2 linked regions of the Drosophila melanogaster genome follow. The protein of the gene in region 1 interacts with the protein of each later gene in a pairwise test. Each region holds a gene or a part of one and is shown on either strand. Other genes may lie near its edges. The genes, in order: Vamp7 and Ugt316A1.

The links.
Region 2: the proteins of Vamp7 (region 1) and Ugt316A1 interact in a two-hybrid assay, tested with the Drosophila melanogaster proteins (2 studies listed by BioGRID).

What each region holds. Positions count from the first base shown.
Region 1 is NT_033778.4:9,832,328-9,844,063, reverse strand, and holds Vamp7 (Vesicle-associated membrane protein 7), read left to right. Parts: upstream 1-1,561; 5' UTR 1,562-1,763; intron 1,764-1,838; exon of another isoform or gene 1,839-1,896; 5' UTR 1,897-2,013; coding exon 2,014-2,217; intron 2,218-2,295; coding exon 2,296-2,524; intron 2,525-2,588; coding exon 2,589-2,656; intron 2,657-2,714; coding exon 2,715-2,870; 3' UTR 2,871-2,984; downstream 2,985-11,736. Other genes in the region: sting, read right to left, coding at 1-104, 161-260; Marc (mitochondrial amidoxime reducing component), read right to left, coding at 3,015-3,120, 3,194-3,480, 3,549-4,171, 4,230-4,236; Lsm11, read left to right, coding at 4,651-5,421; CG1663 (uncharacterized protein), read right to left, coding at 5,654-6,574, 6,633-6,875.
Region 2 is NT_037436.4:19,057,742-19,069,593, reverse strand, and holds Ugt316A1 (UDP-glycosyltransferase family 316 member A1), read left to right. Parts: upstream 1-6,777; 5' UTR 6,778-7,145; coding exon 7,146-7,591; intron 7,592-7,658; coding exon 7,659-7,853; intron 7,854-7,993; coding exon 7,994-8,207; intron 8,208-8,263; coding exon 8,264-9,319; 3' UTR 9,320-10,194; downstream 10,195-11,852. Other genes in the region: Mkp3 (Mitogen-activated protein kinase phosphatase 3), read left to right, coding at 1-107, 312-682; Sfxn2 (sideroflexin 2), read right to left, coding at 3,985-4,144, 4,211-4,749, 4,999-5,267, 5,878-5,893.

The sequences.
Region 1 (11,736 bases):
GGGCAAATAGTACCGCCCATTGCTCCCATATTCGACGACACAGCGGTACAAGCGAAGGAGCAGATCAGCCAAGAACACGGTGGCTACAATGCGAATAGAGGTGTCTGCAACGAATCACGACCGTAAAGATAATTTATGGCGTCCATCGGTCATCACTCACCAATATAATCTCCTATCATCTTTCGAAAATAAAAATATTTTCTGCCTTTTTCCGCGCGAACCGCGTTCCCCGCTTCGACAACGTTGCTAGCGATTGCCATTTCGTCTGCATACATATGTACGTCTCAAGGGTTGCCAGATCGATTTGGAGATCTCGCGAAAACTTCGCTGGAATTTCAAATGCCGTTAAATTATATATAAATTTGTTTATTGGGCTTGCATAGGTATACATAACTGAATTTGGGCTCCTAAATATTAATTACATTGCGTGCACATACAAATGCACATATTTATGTATGACGGAAGCAATGAAGGAACTACATTGTTATATCTTTTTATTATTATTTACTTTTGTGTTTGTTTATCAGGTATCAGATAAGATTTTATCAATATAGCCTCAAAGATTCGTTAATCAATTTGTATTCGAAATAAAACTTTAGGTAACAATGTCCGGTTCCGACTATCAGATACATATACAGACATGAAATCTGCTGACTGTAAAGCTCTCCGCCCTCTGGAACAAATATTCGTGAGAGCCGGAGCCAGCTCTAGACTCCTCCCAAAAACGCATATTGTTATTCTAGTGTCTTTGGTAAGAGGGTATACTAGATTCGTTGAAAAGTAAGTAACAGGTAGAAGGAAGCGTTCCCGGCCATGTAAAGTATATATATTCTTAATCAAGATCAAAATAATAAAAAATAACAAAGATAATTAAACATTAACAATGGTTAACCAATTGGTGGTTAATTAACCATCAACAATGGTTAACCATTACGCTCTTACTCTGCAACTTAAATACTGATAGCTACACCCTAAACGAATTATAAGATTTGATAAATGATCTTATTTAAGCATGCTTATTGTGTTCTAATATTAAATTCTATAGAAACCTTATCCTGTAAAAGGCTCAAAAAAGTGCAATCGTGCCATATTTGTGGCCAGAATAAATGAGAATTCTAAGTCTTTTAAAATAAGTAATTTTAAATCGAATATTTCGGCAGCATATGCGCATATTGAAACTACGTATATTGTATCTTGCGTGTGTACATAGTTTAAGTTATTACCTGCGGTTTTTTCTGTCAAAACGAATGGATCCAGGCTCAAAGATCTCAGGAGCAAAAGCTTGGGAACGCTATTAATTTAAATTTACTTTAATGGAAAATTCTTTGTCCGGGGAGAAGAATCTCAACTGGATGAACTGATGCTCTCGTCAATACTGAAACGCTATCGGTGGGATGCCCCTATTTAAGTTGCGGAGATCATTTAATTTAATAAGCAAATGCAAATAATCATAAGACCGTATAACATAATTTGTAAAACACGTTATGCAGTGTGACCGTGCGATAAAGCCAGACTTATCGGCTCCATTAAATATCGATGCGTCGATGTACCGTCCTTCCACCTCTAATTTTATAACTGCATCGAAGCGTCAGCAATTGTTGTTATTTGTAATGCAAAAATCGAGCTAATTCCACGGTATTGTGATGTTTTTATTGTGTTCGGCAAAAGCAATTGAAAATCGATAATAACTTAAGCCGCTTACCACAAAATGTAAATCTGCAGTTGCGCTATCAACTCGAGGCGGATCTAATTGGATAAACAAAGCAAGTACTTTGATATAACAATTTGCATATTACACATATATACGTATGTTACTCATAAACAGAGTTATTGTTCAGATTGATAGGCTCGCAATTGGATAGTAGTAGTTTCTAAATCGATATGTACATTTCTCAGAATCCGAGAGCACGTCATCATTGACGGATCGTCGGCTCATTCCCCGATAAGCAAAACAAAGCAGTAGCCTGAGGAGCTGAACAACCGCGCCCTTAGCAAAGGAGAATCTGTGGCACCATGCCGATACTATATAGTGTGATATCGCGGGGCACCACAGTGCTGGCGAAGTTTGCGGAGTGCGTCGGCAACTTTGCCGAAGTGACGGAGCACATAATCGGACGGATCGGGGTGCATAACCACAAGATGACCTACACACACGGAGACTACCTGATCCACTACACCTGCGAGAACAAACTGGTCTACATGTGCATCACCGACAACGTGGGTGAACGAACCACTGGCCCAATTAGCCACCTCAGTTGCTTATTGCCCAATCGATAACGTATCGTTTCTTTGTAGGAGTTCGAACGGTCGCGGGCCTTCCTCTTCTTGGCGGATATCAAGCAGAAGTTTATCCAGACTTACGGCCTACAGGTGGCCACCGCCATCGCCTACTCCATGAACACCGAGTTCTCCAAGATCCTGGCCCAGCAGATGGTCTATTTCAGTCAGTCCCGGGAGGTGGACACCATTTCGCGAGTACATGGTCAGATTGACGAGCTTAAAGACATTATGGTTAAGAATATTGGTATGAAGGAAGGAAAATCCGTATGTTCTTTTTGTTTACTATTCCCTTTTCATCCCATTTGCAGACAGCTTGCGGGATCGCGGCGAGAAACTAGAGCTGCTCGTCAACAAGACCGAAAACTTGAGCAATAATGTAAGGTGATGCCAAGCAGAGACTTTTAAATGTGTTTTTCATTTGATCTCTCTTACAGTCCGTTGCATTCCGTAAGGCCTCCCGAAATTTGGCTCGTCAAATGTTTTGGAAGAACATCCGCGTCTACGTGGTGGTGGGTCTGGTGATAACCTTCATCGTTTACGTGATTGTGAGCATGGCCTGTGGTGGCCTCGCTTGGCAGTCCTGTGTTTAGGACAAGCTTTAAAGTTGTTTATATTGTTATAGGCTCATAACACATGTATATTTGCATATAAAACTCTACAGTACTCTCATCTATGTTCTATGTAATAAACTTCAATGTATACCGGATAAAGTGTTAGAAGAGATAATGGAATATTCACTTGTCCTCCACATACACGACGTCGTTGGCCTTCACCTTTCCCGGCAGCCGAAGTCCCATATGAACGCCCAGAGCCGGCGAACTGTAGTTGAACAAGCGATAGCTGTGGATTCCAGATATGAGGGTCGGGTTTTGTAAGTCGTACTTCTCAGATATTTCCATGGGTAGTGACTCACCTTCTGAGCGTTTTGAGAGGCTCTCCTTCGGAACTCCTCTCTGCGGTCTTCGCATTAATGTTGGTAAAAATACAGCGAGTGCATGGCGCCACCGTACGGAAAACAGCATCTTCGCCTATACGCACCCACTGCCAATTGTCCTCGGCATAGGGCTCATCAACATCCATTTTCAGTTCGAAGTTACCTCGGAACTGCAGTGCATCCACCGGATTCTTTAACCGAGTATTAAGATCGGCGACCGACGAAAGGTTCATCAGCATAAAGCTGGTGGCATCGTTAAAAGTGCCCTATGGAAAGAATTCAAATCAAGGGTGATCTGGGTCCTAACACTTCGAATTGCGCATCAGGAACATACCGAGTCCTCCTGTCTAATGAATGGCATGGACTTTAGGCGGGGATTGGTGCATCTCACTGGTTTCGGATAGGGATAGTGAACTAGCTTGAGGCCGCTCTCCTTCTTCAGGATGGCCTGGGAGAACCACGTGTTGATCCGATCTCCGCAGGGCATCACGTCTATGGAAACGCCCCAAACGGAAGTTTTCACATCCTTGCCAGGACCGTCCAGCTTCTCGAAGTCCAGCTCCAGGTCTGGCATGTCCTGGGCGCTGAACACAAGCTTGCTGGGCGACACCTTCTTCGACTTGATCTGGGTCATAAGCGGATACACCCGAGCCGTGATCATTTCGTTCTTTTCATTGACCACCATCAAGGTGCGATCCCTTATTCCCTCAAAGGACATGCTCAGTACATCGCAGTCGTACTCCACTCCGGGCTTCGAGATGTCCATAGGGGCACAGGACTTGACCGGAAAAAAGTGTATCCTCTCCACGGTGCCCACGCGTCGCCACTTTTGGGGAACCACATCGCGGGTCAGATGGCGGTACAGTAGGAAGCTAGCCCCGCCCACCGCCACCAGGCCCACGCCCACGGCCGCCAGGGTCTTGGGACTGAGGTCAAAGGTCGAGTTATTTCCGCCGGCTGCAGGATAATCCACGTTACTTAAGGATCTCCCAGCTAATCCCGGTTTTTCACTCACTTGCCATCTCCTTTGCGCTGTAACACTTGTTGCTTTCTCTGAGTCAAAAGCTCCACTGATTAGGTTTATTGGACAAAAAGCTCTCCTTTGATGAAGATCTCTTACCAAGGCTGGACAACACATGCATCTATGTATATCAGCGGTCATTTTGACAGTAGCAACTGATGATAAGGAATGTAACCTGGTTCTTAGTGCTATTTTTCAGTGATAGGGTAGACTTAATACATTTATTTTTAAATTACCATCCCCGCTCCCTCCAGGTTAATCGATAACTGTTATCGGGCATGCAGCCGGCGAATTCGTGCTCCTTTGTTTACATAACAATTGCAAGAAGCCTGTTGCCTTTTAAGCGGAAAAAGAAAAAAATTTAAGGTTCTTTGTTCTATCAGACTTCTATCGGCAGACTTCGGGAATCAGTGTCATGGAATCGAGGGACCGGAAAACTTCGAATGAGGACGACTCGTCGGAAATCTCCGAATTGGATGTGGGCAGTGATAGGTTTAATCCTCTGCGAGCGTTATACGAACCCAATTTTAGGGTGACCGATGCTGTTCCAAAGGTCATCTACCAGAATCTGGCTGCCTTCGAGAGTGCACTTAAAAAATTCGGCATCTGGCAGCTGAACAAGCGCCAAAAGCCGGGATCCGCAGAAGGAGGAGATCAGGGGACATCGAAAAAGGCTTCCACTTCCGAGGCTGTAGATATTCTACCTCCTGAGCGACGTTTTGAGCCGCACCAGATGCCTACCACTAGTAGCAGAAAGAAGCATCATCGAAATATTTTCACCTACATGGAGGCAGCTGTCGGTCCATTGGAACTCCTAACGAAGTGTATATCCCCTGCTAGCCACAATGAATCCAACGAAAGGAGAAGAGTTCGGGTGGTGATTCGCAAACACGGATCGGTGGGCGGCAGTGTCGAGGGTGAACTGTTGGCCTTTGACAAGCAGTGGAACCTCCTACTGAGGAATGTTACCGAAACCTGGAAGCGACGAAAGTACAATTACGGAGAGCAAAACATATGCGACACACCTGTTGATTGCACAGGCCGCCTCAAGGAGTTGGGTATCACTCTTCCCAGGACTGTAGTCAAAAATCTAAACCGAAAAAACGTGGAGATTCGGCGAGAGCTCCCACAGATTTTAATACGCGGCGAGAATGTGGTTCTAGTTAGTTTAATACCAACAAAATAGTGTATAGCTTATTAAAAGTCACCTCAGATAAAAATCGCGTAGGGTTCTACTTAAAAAACTACAGCAGTCTCTATTAAAGTAGCTAAGAATATATGTAAATTATTGATATATATAATTAAGTTACGCTACAATGTATACAAATTAAGTTATATGATATATTTCCATTTAAGGTTTGAAATCGTTTTACTTTTAAAGAAATTTAAACTACTATTTTATATTTTTCGAAACGTACTTAACTAACGAATCTGTTCAATTCCTCTGGATCATCGTCCTCATATGATTCCATTTCTTCGCTTTGGAGGTGAACCAGTTTATGAAGCTTCAGCAACTCCAGCGTCTTGAATCTCCGCCAGCAAAAGTCGCAGGAGACCTGCCGCGCACTGTTACCGTCGTGAATTTTCCGGATGTGACTCTTCAAGGTGCTATTCTCTCGAAATTGCCGGCTGCAGTGCGGACAACATAGTTTCGGTTGGTCGTGAGTTCGCCGATGAACGGCCAGGGCGGAGCTGGTCTTCGAGCTGTGCCCGCACAGCTCGCAGATATAGTTCCTTTGCCCCGCGTGCATGGCCTGGTGCTGTTGGAAGTCCCACTTGGAAGGTGCATTGTAATCGCATCTGCTGCATTGCCACTCCGGCCGCTTAAAGTGGTACCGTGCCTGGTGTTGTTCTAGCTTGGAGGCGAGTGGAAAGCTCTGGTGGCACACATGACAAACATTCGGATTGGGTCCCCCATGGACGCGGAATTTGTGCAGCCGTAGCAGGCGCTCGTTAAGAAACCGTCGGTCGCACTCCTCGCAAATGGTCACTGATATGTGGTTCGTGGGCATGAATTTCAGCAAACTGTGGTAGTACTTTGGATAGCGACAGCGGAAGTCGGAGCTGCTCAACTGCATTACATACTGTCGCTCAAACCAGACTTGCAGGAAACGGGCACTGGCATTGACCACCTTTGGGTCCAACTGGAAGTGAAATCGATGGAACAGGGCCTCTGCCACTTTTTGGGAACTATCCATGCGATCTTTTTTATTGATCCCGTGCTCAGTTATCCAGAAGAATTTGTGTCTCCGCAGTTGCTGTATGAAGTACTGAATAACTCCGGGGCTGGTGCGCTGCAGGCTGTAGAAGGCTTTGTGGGGTTGGTTCGAGATGTAGTCCTGTGGAAATCAAAGAATCGAAGTCAAGCAAGTGTCATTAATAACCAAGGCTGCTTACATGGTGGCTATTGCTTGCGAGCTCATCATGGCCCTGCTCTTTCTCTGGTGAAAAGTTTGGTTCCACCTCCTCTTCCATAAATTCTACATTTTTGAAAGATTCCTGTACCTCCGCCAACTTGGATTCCTGAGCAATAGACGCCGCCAAGAGATTGGTCATCTCCACCTGAACCTCGTCCTGGATCTCATCCTCATCTGCATTAAATCCACTTTCGTTTCCATGCCTTTGAACCAGGTGCTTCATGAATTCCTTCCATTTGTCACCGCCAAAAGTGTCCACATTACAAAGGCAGCATTTGATTAAAATTGAGGAGTCACTTCTCATGTATACGCGTGCACTTTCTACATAATGCTTCTTATTTGAGTGTTTTGGTATCATGTCCTTAGAATCTGCATGCAATTTATTCCGAAAACTACACATTTTATGAACTAAGTATCGTTTTCAGGTACGATTTGTTTTCCGATAAGTATTCTCATTTACAAGCGCAAGTGTTGGAAAATTCGACTTGGGCCATAGACTTATCGATAGGTAGTTGCACGTCTTATTCGAATTCAAATGGCAGACGACACTCGGCCAAAAAGCAATTTTTGTTTTCGCTTTGTTTTGCTCTTCTTTTGTGTGTGAACTCAAAGGACGGGCTTTGTTGCCTTACGCACAAAAAGTGCATATTGTTGGCCTGACAAAGCGGTAAAAACTTGCGCTTTCATTCATTAAAACTGGGACTGTTGCTGCTTGGAGCGTCGCTGCTGCTTTCGGAACTGCTGTTGGCGCAGTCGCGATCCCGAGCTCAGTCGAAAACACGTTACGCGCCTGTGCAGAGCGTTTTTGCTCTATCCAAACGTTTCCGATCCCATCCGATCCAATCCGATACGATACGATCCGATCCGATCCCATACGATACAAAGCCAGCGGATTCGAAAGTTTTACACCGCGTGCAGCAGAAGCAGCAACAACAGCAGCAGCAAAAAAAGCAACAGCAATAACAATTCGTATGTTTCGTTTGTGTGTTGAAGATTTAATTTTTTATGCAAAGCAAACGACGACAGACTTTTCGGCTGGTCAACAATTTCTATTTTAATTGGCAGTAGCGCCCAGCAATTTACCATAAGCGAATGGAAAGCTGACAAAAGTCACCGACTCCGGTTTATTGTGCATAATCAAGCCAATCAATGTGTTTTCTTTCGTCCACATTATTTGCCATTTTTGCCATTTGCGATTAGCCACTCGCAGATCACGCAGTGGCCAGAATTTGGGTTCTTTGCTCGGAGCGCCAGCGACCCAATTTGTTAACTATCGCCATTATGGCTTAATTGCTAGAAATGAATAAGTTTTTAACGAACTGCGTGCGCCGCTTTTGTGCGTGTCGCTGTTTCCTTTTTCGCGCAGTGTACGCAAATTGGCAAGCGCCGTTAATTAGAAATTTTCTTTGTCAAGGTTGCGAATCCCCCATCGGATTCCCACTTGGACTGCGACTCCGGCTCAAGTGCACGTTCGTTTGTGTTGGCTGTCAATTAGCGTGTTATTCAACCGCGCTCGCAAATAGATCATTAAAGTAAAGCACTCGACGGGCTAATTGTAATTGTAACGATGTGCAAACACCGCCTGCGCAGCTGGCAGTGGAGATATGGCGACTTCTATGGAGTTCTGTTCTGCAGCTCTGCATTCTGATCTCCCAGTAAATTAGCACATCGATTAATTGGCCAAAAACTGGATTCCTTTGCTAGATGGTAAAAACAGGTCGACACAGAAGGAGCTATCAAAATATACATATCAGTTCGAATTAAACTACATTAATTTTACTCGACATTCTAATTATTCCATGTTCTAAAACATTACGATCTCTTAATGATAAAGTCGGATAAATTGGATAACGTGCACTTGTAATACTGAAGTATTTTATTCGTTTATTTGCTTACTTAATATTCTAGTTACATAAACGCGATTCTCCAACTGTTAGAACCACTAAGTGGCGCATTTTAAAGACGCGAACATGATTTGAGCCTCTGAGATTTTTGTGGATAACTTCCAAATCGATGACCTATATCTGCTGGATTTTTTCTCTGTGCCGAGTTACCAGTTTTCCAGGCTTCTGATGACCGGGCAGCATGTATATGGGGCATTCATTCCGTTTTGGGGCCAGGCCACTCCCCGCGCGCACAGGTTAAACAGCTTTTCCCCCTCCACTCGCTTCGGTTCGGTGTGGTTTGGTTCGGCTCGGATTCGAATCCACTCGGCCACATCCCGCTGCCACTCCCCCGAGATTTTCACGGCCACCGGGGGGAAATGGGTCGGTCGCCTTCGTGCGGAAGCCCTCGCATTAGGGCATCCACATCCACACCCACACCCACATCCACAGAATCGTAATCGTGTAAATGGCAAATACACTTTGCTCCCTCTATCGGCGAAATAATCAAATAGCACCAGGTCATAAAGTTTCGGCGTCGGACGTAGTTATCACGCCGATATGGCTTCGTGTGTTGATATCATTCGGGGAACTCTAGTGATTATGTTTATGCGACCTCTAATATAGGAAGCCCCGAATATGTTCAAAATCAAAGATCGGGTTTCAATTGCAGTAAATACACTTGTGTGATTGTTTTATTTTAAAAATACTCTCTGTATCATGAGGGAAATACCCAATAGAAGCTTTACTGTATTGAAAATCCCCTACCTAATGACTTTTATCTTTACTGACGTACTTGAGAATAGTCTTTGGAAAACCACGGAAAGTCAACTTGAGATAAGTGCTTTCAAATTTATAAATTTACGTCATTTATTCCTATTTTTTAAATCATTAACATTTACTATCTAGTTTATGAGGACAATTGTCAAAAATTGCTCGTGACAATTACAATTGTAAAAATAGCATACTTTAAGAATCCGACAAGACTTGATAAATAGGTTTAACCAATTAAATCAATTTTATACAATATTGATGTTAGTTTTGATGACAGTGAACTTTATATTCTTTTTTGAAAGCAACTTGAAAATAGTAAGTTTCTCTTTATAACAGAGTATGAAGTAACCAATTGGATGCTATATTTTAAGATATGATAATATATAATATCAGCTTAAATACTCAAATAATAATAATAATAATTAATTCCTATACCTTTCGTTAATATTCAGTTCGAAAGCCAGTTGAAAATCGCTTGTTATTGGGGACGAATAATAACTTTTCTATAAATAAGCCGTAATAGCCGCTGTCGTAAAGTAATCTTCTACTTATTGAACAACCGAGTAAATAAGGTAAATAGGTCTGGCTAAAGCAATTGTCCCGCAAAGCTGACCCATTGGGCTGAGCAAATAAACAAAACAGTGAGTCAACTCCAAGTTGTTGCCGTTTGCCGAGCAAATAAACAGATAACCGGGCTCTTACCGCATTCACGATCAGAGCAGATCATGCGCTCGCAGCACGTGTAAACTACGTAAATATTCACGGGCGCAATTAATGCCACTTCGGTGGATTGGATTTTCTTCCATTTCGCACGTCGGAAGTGTCCACTTTTGGGGCGCCCAAATACTCCAGTTAGTCCAGTTCAGATGGTGCATAATCGGCCAGCAATTAAGTAATGTACACACATCACCTTCGTTTTCCGGATGGTGCTATTCCGTGGGGGCATGTTATGGCGCGCACCTTTCACGTAGGGCGCCTGCAGGGCAATTCGCTCTGGGCCACGGCTATTAAGCTCTCCAGGTAAATATCTGGCACTCGGAATTCATATTTATTTTGCCAGCCATATAACTAACTATATGCTATATGTGTGCCAGCTACATGCGCACGAGCAGAGCGATAACCGCCGACGAGCGACGACGATGTTGCGACTACTCCAGGCGTTCGAAGTTGCTCGTTCAGGTTTCAGTATTCAGTTACGTTTTGGCGTTTTACGGTAACGCAGCGGACAGTTAGCCTCCAATTATAGGTGCGTCCATATCTCCCGACATTCCAGCTTGTGAGTGTGTGCCAAAATAATAGAGCGTAATGCCATCATATTTGCGAGTAAAACCGAGAAACCTGCAAACGTGTAAATATCGTCTGAGCGCCTTATGATCGCTCATACGCCGCGTTGGCCCCCTACAAAAAAAAAAAAAAAAAACAAAGCCGCTTACGCCCGACGTTCGTGACTTTGACATTTGTGGCCGCTGGCCGCTAAATTGGCCATCTATAACGAATTGTCGCGCATCTGAAACACGTTCTACAATATGTACACACACATTTTATATATACGGGCCCTCCTAATCGAGGGAACTCATTCCCCGACGTGCCCCTGCTTTCACGGCATAACCATCGCCTCCTCATAACCATAAATCCCATAAAATGTGTATGAAAATATTTACAACTAATTATGCGGCCAGGCGGCAAAACACTCTCCGCCGCAGATCCATTGAGGTGCCTTGAACTCGGGCTCCGACTTATGGTTTTATTTTTTTTTTTTTTCGTTCATGGCAGCCGATTTCACTTTCTTTTCGCGCTCTCTAGGGCCGCTAATCACAATGGGATTGGATAATACTCCAAGTGGCCAGCTCCCAAGTACCCAAGTTCCCAGTTGCCCAGTCGCCATTGCAGCCTTATCGCCTCGGATTATGCTGGCCCGCTTATCAGCCCTATTTTGGCAATGTCTTTGATAAGATTGCCGCGCCGCCTTGGCTTCCTTTCGACTGATTTGTATGTGCCCGCTGCGCCGTAGCTCTTGGCCAAGTCAGTCCGCAGCATAAGAGATGTTCCCAAGAGATGTAAACAGATTGCAATTGTACTAGTTTCCAGTTCACACAGTGCTGACCGAGTTTGTCTGCAACCACAATTCGCTCCACAGGGCCCTATGTTCGAAGGTAGATCCGAAAAAGGTTCAGGTGGGGGGGCTGGGAATCTGATTTGATCCGCCGAGTGATAGACGCACCCAACTCACGCAGCTCCAAATCGAATTTCTAAGGCAAACGCTCTGTTATGGCCCCGGGTTTTATCTCAGCGACTCAATTCACACCCTGAATGCGAGAAGATTCAAAGAATTCGGTTGAAATGGCAAATAGGAAAGTGGCCATTCCCTCGCATTGTCGGGAATTTGTTAATATCTTGCTCAGCGAACGATTTTGCTCCCAGATGAAC
Region 2 (11,852 bases), on another chromosome or scaffold:
AAATAAGTTCAAGGAGTCGGGCGACATCAAGTATCTGCAGATTCCGATCACGGATCACTACTCACAAGATTTGGCCATACATTTCCCGGATGCCATACAGTTTATAGGTGAGGTTTTGTGAAAATGCGTAATTTTGAGGATAATAACTTTAAGGGATTAAAGTATAGATAACTATAATGAAAGGGGTAAGGGAAAGGGGTTTTGATAATCAAATATAACGTTTTAAAGATAGAAACTATTAAAGCTTGAAGGCTTAATCCTGTTTTGTCAAATCAAAGCTAATGCTCTGTATTGTTTACAAAAATTCACAGAGGAAGCGCGGTCCGCAAGCTCGGTGGTGCTGGTCCACTGCCTGGCCGGAGTTTCGCGCTCGGTGACCGTGACGCTCGCCTACTTGATGCACACGCGGGGCCTGAGTCTCAACGACGCCTTCGCGATGGTGCGGGACCGGAAGCCGGATGTATCGCCCAACTTCCACTTCATGCAGCAGCTGCTGTCCTTCGAGAGCCAACTGCGCCTGAGACCCGGCTCCAGGTTCTCGTGCAGCTGCATTGCGCCGGACTGCAATTGCATGCAGACCACGGGCTTTATGGCCACCCATCTGGCGAATGCTACCGGGGTCTCGCCAGACTCCGGCATCGAGTTCGATCGCTGGACCCCGTCGGACACGGGTCTTAAATGAGAACAGAGTGGCGGTAAGAGTTTCGTGCTACCACCAAGTCAGGAGGTCCCATTTGCAGCCGCCGCCACATCGCCGTTGCCCATGTGCCTGGCGGTTAACCCGGACAACATGTCTCCGGCCAGCACCACCAGCTCGTCCACATCGACCACGACCACCGCGGAGGCGGTTTCCGTGGTGGAAATGGTGCAGCATCGGGATCAGGAGATGGCCGAAGAAGACATCATAACCAGGGGAGAGTACGATGAGGATGCGGCCTGAATGGCGAAGCTTTTCCTAACTTGGTTCTCGCGCAAAACACCCGGATAAACCACACATACATATGAGCCGCTTGTTAAATAGGGGTACGAATTCAAACTTTAATAAATGTACAAAGTTTTGGAGAAATGCCCAACGTACACATATTGATTAATACCACGTAAATAACTTAATGTTTAATACACTTTTAAGTGAAGTGCAGACAAAATCCAACGTTATCCACACGGAAACCAACTTCGCAACTATACAAAAATGAGAATGAGAAATAAAATATATAAAATATATTTATATATACGCAGTGTACGCAGTGTTTGTATCTAACTCCTAAGCCAAGTCAAGAGAATAAATATATTGAAGCCGAAGCGAAAATAAACAATTAAACTGAGAGCAGTTTTCTAGGTATATAGTTTTAGTTTTAGTTTTAAATTTTACTAAACTCGAAATCGTTTATAAATGTAAAGTTTGTTATATTCGGAGCGATTGGCCGCGATAGGCGCTCCCTAATATAAATATACTACCATGCCAAGTCATATAAGTGTAAAGTGAACTAAAATCCCGAATATCGAAGAATTTTTAAAATCGAAAACAAAAGAAAAATGAACACTAAAACAAAGAAAATAAATACAACCATTTGCACAACACAAATAACCACACAAAAAAGAACATTTGCCAAAAGCAAAACATTTTTTATTGTTTTTAGGGGTGATCTAAAATATCGGCATAGACCATATAGCTAAGCAGATTTTAGCAAGGTTTGACAATTGGTCTAGATTATATTAAAAGCCGATTAATCGCATAAAGTTATTTTCTACAAACGACATGTTAAAGTTGGAGGACAGCAAGATGGAAATAAATTAAGTGATTCATTTGTTATGTAATGGATAAAAAAAAATAAAGTTGTATGCGTGTCAGCTGTTTTCCAGTCAGGCAAAGTTGGTACAAAATTTTATCAGGTGACATTTCAAGAAACAAAAAATACGAACCAAACTGCATCTGAATAATGTTTATAGTTTATATGTAAAAGAAACAACAAGAAAATTAAAAACTAAAATAGTCCCAGAAACTTTTTTGGAAAAATAAGGCTGTGCGCGATAAAAAAAAAATCAATATATATATCTAATAACGAGTGTTGAGAATTCGAAGAAAAAGGTTGAAATGCCAGATAGGATTGGTTAGTTGGATTTATAAGATCGTGAACAACTCTCCTTGGCCCAAGGCTAGGATTTGTTTCCAGCCGAAGCTGCTCGACTGATTCGATTTGATAAGGATGGCGAGATGGTGTTGTGTGGTAAGTGAAAGTCAGAATATTCTAAATTTTAAAGCTCAGGAACGAAGGGGTCAGAGATGTTTTGGGAGGTATAGAACCCAAGCTAGCTGGGTATTACAAAATACGCGAGTGCTAAAGTCGCACAACATTCCATAGAAATCATGTCCACTTTAAATAGTTTTTATTGTAAGGCAACCTTAAGTTTCAAATGGGGTCAGGTTTTGATTAGAAAAATCGGCTTTGTTAAAAGCAAACGAATGAGTTTTGATTAGGCAGCTAAATACGGATAAGAAGTTCCTGGTCAAAGGGAAGCTTACTAAGCTAGTTGCTCTAGCCCATAGGATTTTTGCAAAGGAAATGCCTACGATTTTGAACGAGCTTTTCCCAGCTAAGAGCCAAACATCTAGGAAAACTAACTTAAGCATTAATCCAGTTTGAAATGCCAATTTATTGTTGAAAGCCTCAGTCAGTATAAATAACTAAGCATACAGTTAATAAATATTGAAATCGAAGCAAAAAAAAAGGTCCCAGAACCCCGTAAATAATTGTGTGTCGAACGTTTTGCCAGTTAATAATTAAGATAACTAAATTGTATTAAAAAGTGTTTGCTGATTCATGCGACAATTTCCATTTTTAAGGCACAAGGCGATCCACTTTTTACAAGCTAATGCGAAATGGAATCGAAATTTTGCTGCCAGGCAGCGCATTTGTTGTCCATGCCCCCAAAATGGGCGTGGCATGGGCATAACTGCTGAGATTTTTCCCTTTTGGTTTTTGTTAGCGTAAGAAGATACAAACCATTTTACATATTGTACATCTGAGTGTTGAATTTTTCCATAAATATTTAGCACCGAGATAAAGAAATATTCAAGCAACAGTGCCAACAAAAAGTAAAACACCCAAAACTAAATATATAAACTATAAATGATAAACGAAATTGTACCTTGAGAAAGTCCAAGCAAAACTATCTACGGCGGTAGCACTCAATGCGAACCAACCGATCGACAAAAAAAGTCAAACAATAAGAAAGAGTACCCCTCTGTCAACGTTTAAGGACGAATATTCTATAGCTACCTAGTTGTGTTTTGCACATTTTGTAAACTTTACAACACGATGAAGGAAACCGAATATCTAGATAAACGACAGCCCCGCAGCGTTATATATAATGATATATATACTTATACAGGATACAAGAACATAACTAATAAAACCGTTTTTAAAACCCGTGAAACTTGAATACTGTTTTTACACTTTTATTTTAAACAATGAGTGAATTAGTTCTAATACGAAACACAACGAGTTTGGTTTGTTAGTTATTAGTGGCTTGTAAAAGCATTCTCCTGCTCAGCAGCTCAGTTTAGTTAGTTTCAGAATGAAAAATTATCTAAATTGTCAATTATTACAGTTTTAAAATAACGTATAACATGAACACGATTTAGGACATACATATTTGAATATTAATACCCATTATGTGCTAGCCCTGCTAAGGTTCTTATGAGCAAATACATTTTTTTGGATGTGGATGTCACTAGATATGATAACTTATCATACAATTTAACAAATTAGAAAAACCTAGCAGGTCCGAGATTTACATTTTAAAACAGCTGAGATTCCTTTTAGCTTAGCAACTACGACAATTGACACATGACACACGGAACAACTGCAACTGCAAAGTTGCGCAATCTAAAACAGTAAATGCTACATAAAACATGAGACGAGAACGGATACCACTAACACACAATTGTCTTCCCTCAATTCCAGGATTATTGTCGAGCCGATCTTACAGACCCTTGTTGAAGTAGACACGCTTGGGCACTTTGCCCTGAGTTTTCTTCTCGAGGTCCTCGTAAAGTTCGGGCTCGAAGGTGCGCATAATCGAAGTGTCCAAGGAACACTGCTGTGGGAACAGGGCGCAGGCAGTGGGCACCATGAAGCAAAGGCTAAACATCAAAGAATAAAAAGATCAGTTAAAGGAACAAGTGGTCGTAGATGATAAAGTTACTTACAAGCACCCAACCAAAAGGGTCTGGAATGGAGCATTAATCCACTTGATGCGCCTGTAGGCAGGCAGTTTCTCCAGCCTCTCCATTATCAATGGCAGCACCAGCATTCCGGGCGCCGCCATCGCAATCCTGGACACAACCACCTCACCGATTCCTTTGATGGCTGCCAATCTACTCTGGCCCACAACCACTCCATCGTCGTTCTTCACCTCTATGCCATTGATTATCTCATTTTGTCGCATCAGCGGAATGTTCACGAAGTTGGCTGCCGCCACAGCTGCGAAGGGCACAAATCTTTGGAACAGCGGAGTCGCTTTCTTTGACCAATAGTTCTTGCATCCAATAGCAGCTACCAGAGCCGATGTCGTGGCGGATACATAGGCCACGCCCAGCTGCGTAACGCTAGTTGGCGAGTTGGCATTGCGATTCGTGTAGTTAACAACCGCATTGAAGGACTGGTTGATGAACTGCCAGAGCACCACGGCGGGCACGGTGCGATAGAAGGCCAGCATGCCACCGGTGATCAACATGCCTCCGGGTACCTGAAGATAGACCAAATACACAAAGCAATTAGTAAAGCTTAAATATGTAAGCATCGATTTAGATAAGCCCTTAAGGGAACAGGTTCTTTGATGCTAAAACCAACAAAATGCTCGAAGATTTGGCATTCCGAGCAATTGGTCTTGATATCGTCGTGCCTTCCTTGTGTTTTTGGCAACCCATTCACAAGGCGTCCACGCCAGACGCTTCTATTTTCAGCGACCACGTGCCGAACCCATCTCGAGACTTGCCTGAAAACTCATGCGGCCGCAAAAGTTCTGCAGCTCGCCGGTATCCGGATGAAAGGCTGAGTTGTACAGCTTCATGTTGTAGTGCACCTCCTCCGGCTTCAGCGGCGGGGATTGGTCACCTTTCCGGTAGCGTTCAACCATTGCTTTGGCTTCCAGCAGGCGATCGCTGGATACGACTACGGTGCGGGGGTCCGTCATCCAGGCGAAGTACTGGAAGCGCCCAGCGAAGGTGCTGAGATCGAAGAGTGGCTTGTCCACATCGATGAGGGCTAGGGTTAGGGATTGGTTGGGTCAGTGGGCATAGAATGATCGTATCTCTGGGCTCTCTCAAATATCAAATTTATTAAGTACATTATTTTAGATACTGCTACTATTTGAAGATTGTTTAAAATTTGATGAAAGTACATTTATTTTGGCTGCCACGTTATATATTAAAGTGTATTAATTGAAATATTACATACAAGCTCTAGCTGACTTTTAATTTTTAAAATATGTAGTTTACAGAATTTTGAGAATCAAAATGGAAATAATAAAAAATTATGGCTATAGATTTATTAATTCTTAAAACTTTTTTAACAAATGAATAGATTCATTTATACAATAAATTGATATTAGAAAGTGTTGAGTAAATGTCATAATCAGTCTTATGTTTTTGAAAAGCTTTCGAAAAAAAAACACAACAAAACTGATTAGATAATGAAGATGCTGTGAAATGAATATCCTTTTATGTTATTTATTTTCACAAAATATGCATAAGAAATGATTCATCAAAAACTTATTTGCTTTGATTCCTCTATGTGTATGTATTCACTTGAATGCTCAATATATTCGATATTCGTGGGAGCCCATATAAAGTGGTGGTTTTGATTTGATTCTTACTTGATACCTGCGACATTTTGGCTGCTGATCCAATTGCCTAACTGCTTGTAATTTGTAATTGCGAGCGGCTTACGTAAGCAGTAACTTTCAGCTGTTGCCGGTTTATGGCGGCTTGCTTTTGTTATTGTTGTTGTTTTGGCCGCTTGCGCTTTTGGGCAGATTCTCACCTTATGTGTTTGCTTAGGGCCGATTTAACAGCAAATGATTCGTTTTAGCCACGCACCTGATCCGCCAGCTGTTCAATTCACTTTTCTGCCTCGTAATGCGGTTCAAATGTTCACTTTTTATGTCGCTCTCCGTTTTTTTTGGCACTCTTCCAATTGGAAAAAAAGTTGTTTTGTTTGCCGCTCTCTGTTTGTCTTTTTTCGCTCTGAGTTTGTGCATCCACAAGTACTTGCTGTGCTCGCCGCAACCTCTCAATTTAGCACTTCTTTTGTTGTGCAATTTGCCGAATGATTCGCAAACTCAGTCGCGTATAAATGCAATTTTCAAATTGTTTACTGCGATGGTAAGGAAGAAGAAGCAATGTGGCGGGGTGGGGGTGGCTTTGCACAATAGTGGGACCGTGCGTAGATCAGGCGGGAAAAGCCACAGGCAAGCAGTGGAAGGTGCCATGGCTTCAAGCAAGCAGTTCATGTTCGCATAAAAATATGCAGTAATCTCTAGAAATTCAATAATGTAATGTAATGTATAATTCAGTAACTTTATTATTAATCATGTTAAAAGTAAGGTATTCAGAGCACGAGTGTTTTTTCCATGGCACAAGTTTTGTATACTCGCCAACTGCTTGCTATTAAGACACGCTTTAAATTTCAGATGTTAACGCGGCATCGCTAATGCTTCTTTCAGCTGCAAAATAGCTAGATTTGCCGGTCTGAACAGCTAGCCGGACATCTCTGAATGCCATTCGCAGGAGACGACGACAAAGCCGCAGTTGTTGCTGCTGTTCTTTTCACTTTCGTTGCGTTTTGCACTGCATTTTATTTGGCAATTTGTGTGCATTTTTCAACAGCTGTGATATTTTGCCATCGCATCGTGGCGGCAAGATGATGAAAATCGGCGAAAAAAGCGGGAGCAGAAGCAGCAGATAATAATAGAAGCCACGTACTTGTGCGTGTGTGTGCGTTGTGTATGGGCTGAGCGCCAGTGTTTGTGTGTGTTTTTGCAAAAAAAAAAAAAACCGGAAAAGCAGAAACACAGACACGAATGCGGATGCGGATGTAGAAGCGGATGCAAAGGCCACTGCGGATATAATCCACAAACACAAAATGCAAATCCTGCAAGTGTTTCTGGGCACGCTGCTCTGCGGCATCGTCCTGGGCGCCAATGTACTGACAGTTTTTCCCAGTGTCTGGAAATCCCACTATCTCTTTGGCCGGAGATTGCTTCAGGAGCTGGTGGAGAGTTCGGGCAACCACTCCGTAACTCTGATCAGTCCACATGCCGCGCAGGAAGGTGTGGATGCGGAAATACCCAAAATCAGGGAGCTGCGCATCGAAGGGCTGCGGGAAAACTGGCTCGACATGGGCATGAGTTTTGAGGCCGAGGAAATGCGGGCCCAGAGTGTGATGGAAAGGTTCACCCGGCTGATCTACGCTGGCACCACCAATGTGGACATTTTGCTGTCGGATCCCCAGGTCCGGAAGCTCCTGACCAGCGGCGAAAAGTTCGACTTACTCATAGTGGACCTGTTCTTAAGCGATGCTCTGCTAGGGTGAGTCCGAAAGCCAAAAACGGGTTTCCTTGGTATATATTTCAAATGGAAATCTGTTCTCTTTTAGCTTGGCCTTCTACTATGGCATACCCACCGTTGCAGTCAGTCCCACTGGCGCGAATTCCTGGCTGAATAACATGTTTGGCAATCCGCAATCGTCCTCACTGGATCCCAGCAATTTCCTGCCCTTCACGGAGAGAATGAACACGAGGCAGAGGATTCTAAACTCGCTTATGAGCACCTTTGAGCGCTTGACCTACAAGTACGATCTTACTGCAGTATAACTTGTATAATTGTGTAGCATTTCGAGACAAGTTAATCATCAGCAATTTATATTATCAATAGGAAAATAATCTTTCTTTACATTCAGTTTAACAGGATCCGTTTTTTTGTATTTTGCAGCTTTTTCCACTTGATCTCCCAGCAATCCGTGTACACAAATCACTTCGAACTGCTCGTTAAGGAGCTGCCGCTTTATAGAGATCTGACAAAGAATCTCAGTTTGGCCTTGATTAACTCGCATCCAGGCCTACATTATCCCCGTGCATATTTGCCCAACATGGTGGAAGTGGGCGGCCTGCACTTAAGCCACTTAAATGATGACAATTTGCCAAAAGTATGTCTAAATGCATTCATTCATAAATTCAAATCACTTACTTTAATTGTTTTTAGCATCTTCTGTCGTTCATGGAATCGGCTCCCAGTGGGGTTATCTATTTTAGCCTGGGCGCCGATGTGGAAACAGCTCAACTGCCTCAGGAAAAGTTGGCCATTATTCTGGATGTGTTTGGCCACCTCAAGGAGTTTCACTTCTTGCTGAAGTGGGAAAAGGAGGAGTTTACGGCGGAACAGGTGCTGCCAGAGAACGTTATGATTGCTGACTGGTGGCCACAACAGGCCATCCTTCACCATCCGCAGGTCAAGATGTTTATTAGCAGCTGCGGTCAGTTGAGCGTTTGGGAATCGATTAGTGGACAAAAGCCAGTACTTGCCATACCCATTCTAGCCGAACAAGAGGTGATGGCTAAGCGCTTGCAGCGACATGGAGTCTCCGTGACCGTTGGCTACGACTCGTTAGCTTACGATTCGCTGCTCCACGGCATAAGACAGCTCACCCTGAATACCAGCTATGTGGAGAAGTTGGGTCAACTCAAAGAACGACTGATTAGCCGCGATTCCACGCCAGTTGGAAAAGCTGTGCGAAAGATACAGCTTATATTGGAGTCTGGAGGAGCTGACTTTCTTAAGTCGCACGCCAATACCTTAAACTTTTGGAGAGCTGAAGGTGTGGATGTTCTGCTTATAATAGCAGTGGGCTTTTTTGGAATTTTAACCATTCCTTTCCTGGCCATTTGCTTTATACTAAGAAAATCCTACCACAGCCAAGCCGCGCAGGATCAGCCACCATACAGAACCAACCTGAAAGTGGTTGGCAGAGTGCACAGCTATGGTGACCAGGGGAGTAGTAGATCTCCCAAGGGAACAGAGTCGCTCAGAAGAACGCGATCCGCTCAATCTTTATCGGCGCGGTCCAGCTCTTCGAGCATGAGCTCCAATTCACCGACGAGTCCATCGACAGCGTCCACTACGCCACTGGACCTAACTCCCCCACCTCCGATTCAGCTGCTCGGGCAGGTGCCGCCCTTGCAGTTGTACGTGAATCAGCAGCGGATATACTCAAGCGATCGAAAGACATCACAGGAGGAAGCAGAACGCAGGTTCTCATAATGATATATCTCCACACGAAATATATTACTAAACTTACGGTGGATCACATAGAAAGGATGCTCGTCTCGGTTTCACATCCTCATGTTAGGACTAGCAAAACTGTAAGATCGTCTAACAAGCCAGCCGGAGGATGGGAAAGCAGAGCTTAGAGCGGGAAAATAATCATTGGTCAATCTATTACTAGTTTCAACTAGATCTCTTAAAGATCCATTAAAGTTGCACAGTTGCCAACTATAATGCCCTCGATTGTCCACCGAGTACATTCCGCATCTATAATCCGTGTCACAAAATCGATCCACCATGCCTATATAAACCTATACATAAAAATATCGTCTAGTGTTAAGTGTGATTTTTTGTTAATACATGTGGTTTTATATTTCGATAAGTTTTAAAATTTATAAATTGTATATATCTTGAATATTTGTATTGTGTGTAAACGAACGTTCACACTTTGAACATAGGATATTTGTACTGACAAAGTATAACAATAAATTGGGTACTTGAAATTGATTTTATGTTCTGATATTAATGTCGAAAACCCTTTACAGCTATTTCATTCAATTAATATTTCAATTCAAAGACTGACAACACCTTTCGTATGTTTTTAAAAAGACAAAGCTTGATAGAAACACAAGCGCTTAGACTGCAATTGTTCAGCTCAAAAAAGCAACTGAGTATTGATAAAATATCTATGTATGTCCGTTTGTTAATTTCGAGCTGAAATTAAAATTGTTAATGTTTTTATAATAATAAAACATATAATGCGGTCACCTTTTTTACAATGGGAAAACTAGATGCAGTTTTCAATTCGGTTTAGTTGTTCTGAATACTTTAAATTAAGGATATTTTATAATGCCATGTATGAATTGTTGAATAAAATATATAAAATAGCCTATAGAATTGGAATTTCCTATATTTCTTTGAATAGTTGTAAATATTTTCCCAATTTAAATGGCTTAATTATATAGCATCTATCTTTGTTTGCATTCTACTTAAATTCCCATGCCGTGCAAGTTGTATTTCACATTTTGTTTGAACTCTCCTTGAACAAATTCAAAATTCTTTTAGTTGGCATAGAGCAGTTAGCGTTAATTATGGTTTAATATGGCGTCTCGGGGGCAAGGGGCGTGTCTAATTAGTTGACTGCACTGGGCTAATGTCGGCAGGCTTTGATGTGCATGGCGGCGTGTGCACTTCATTTAAGCCGAGTGCGGCTCAAGTGTCTCTGAGGATGCTGCCGCGGATGCGTCTGCGGATCCTCCGCACAGGATGGCAGGATGCCAGTTGTTGCAGCAAAGTCACCTGTTTGCTTTCATCAGTCCACTACACACACACACACACACACACACGTTGACAAAGGGAAAACGAAAGCAGGTGAGTGGAAATTCGTGTGATGCATGTGTGCCTGGTGGGTGGCGCATTTTCACTTGGCTTCCTCCTCCGGCGGCCTGTTAATAAAACTGTATTTTTGCACACATGTCGCGAAAGGTGAGCTACTGAAGAACCCTGGGAGGAAAATGCACGCGGGGTCTGGTTGCCACTCCTGATGCGCATATTTTTGGTTAGACATTGGAAATTTGATATGCAAACCACAAGTGACATGATGGTACACTCGCATGACATGGCCCATCATTCCGAAGAATTAAGATTAATTCTAGAGCTCATCTCCTATAGTCCCATTTAAACTTCCATTGAAATGTGTTTCTATAATATCAATTATCCTTTTTAATTTTGCACGCTTAAATATGTTATCATGCTTCAACTATCAAAGGCAAGGATTCACATTTCAACCCCATCGTGAGCGCTCATCGGATTCCAAGTTCAAGAGCCATCAATGGCGGTCAACTTCAACTCTGTTTCGCTGTCAGCTTTATAACCCGACAGTCCTATTTGGTGTTCCATCACAGCCACACTTGTCACACAGGGGCCAAAGACTGGGAAAGATGTGGCGGAATGGGGAATCGGGATCAACTGGAGTGGAGGCCATCGGCTCGACCGCCAGTCGCGAATGTCAACCGCAAGAAGAGCGGCCGAGTCAAGTGAAGACTTCTCGAATTGACAGGCGGCCAGTGGAGTCGGCCGCAGCACGAACACATGAAAAGGGGGTTGTGCACTGTCAGAAAATAAGGTATCATTTGACTAGAATTGAGTTTTTAACTTATTACATTACTTGGCTTCCAAGCCACCGCATTCGTAGAGTAAAAGGAAGCGTTTTCGCTACAGAAAATTCTTAATTAAAGATTCGATCTGGTCATGTCCGTTTGTCCGTCCGTCTGTCCGTCCATCTGTCCGTATGAGTCCTGGAAACTATAAATCTATTTATAGCATGAATATCGCTACAGGCAATTTCTCTCACCCGCTTTTCATTTGTCGAAAAAGAAAATAAAGCACGGCTTTCAGAAGTTTTTAGGTGCTACAATTTTTAATTATAATGATAACAATGTGATTGATTTTGTAAGAAATTATTCTTTTTCGTAATTTTTAGTTCATAAAAAATATATCAAAATTCTGCACTTTAGAAAACTCCTCATTG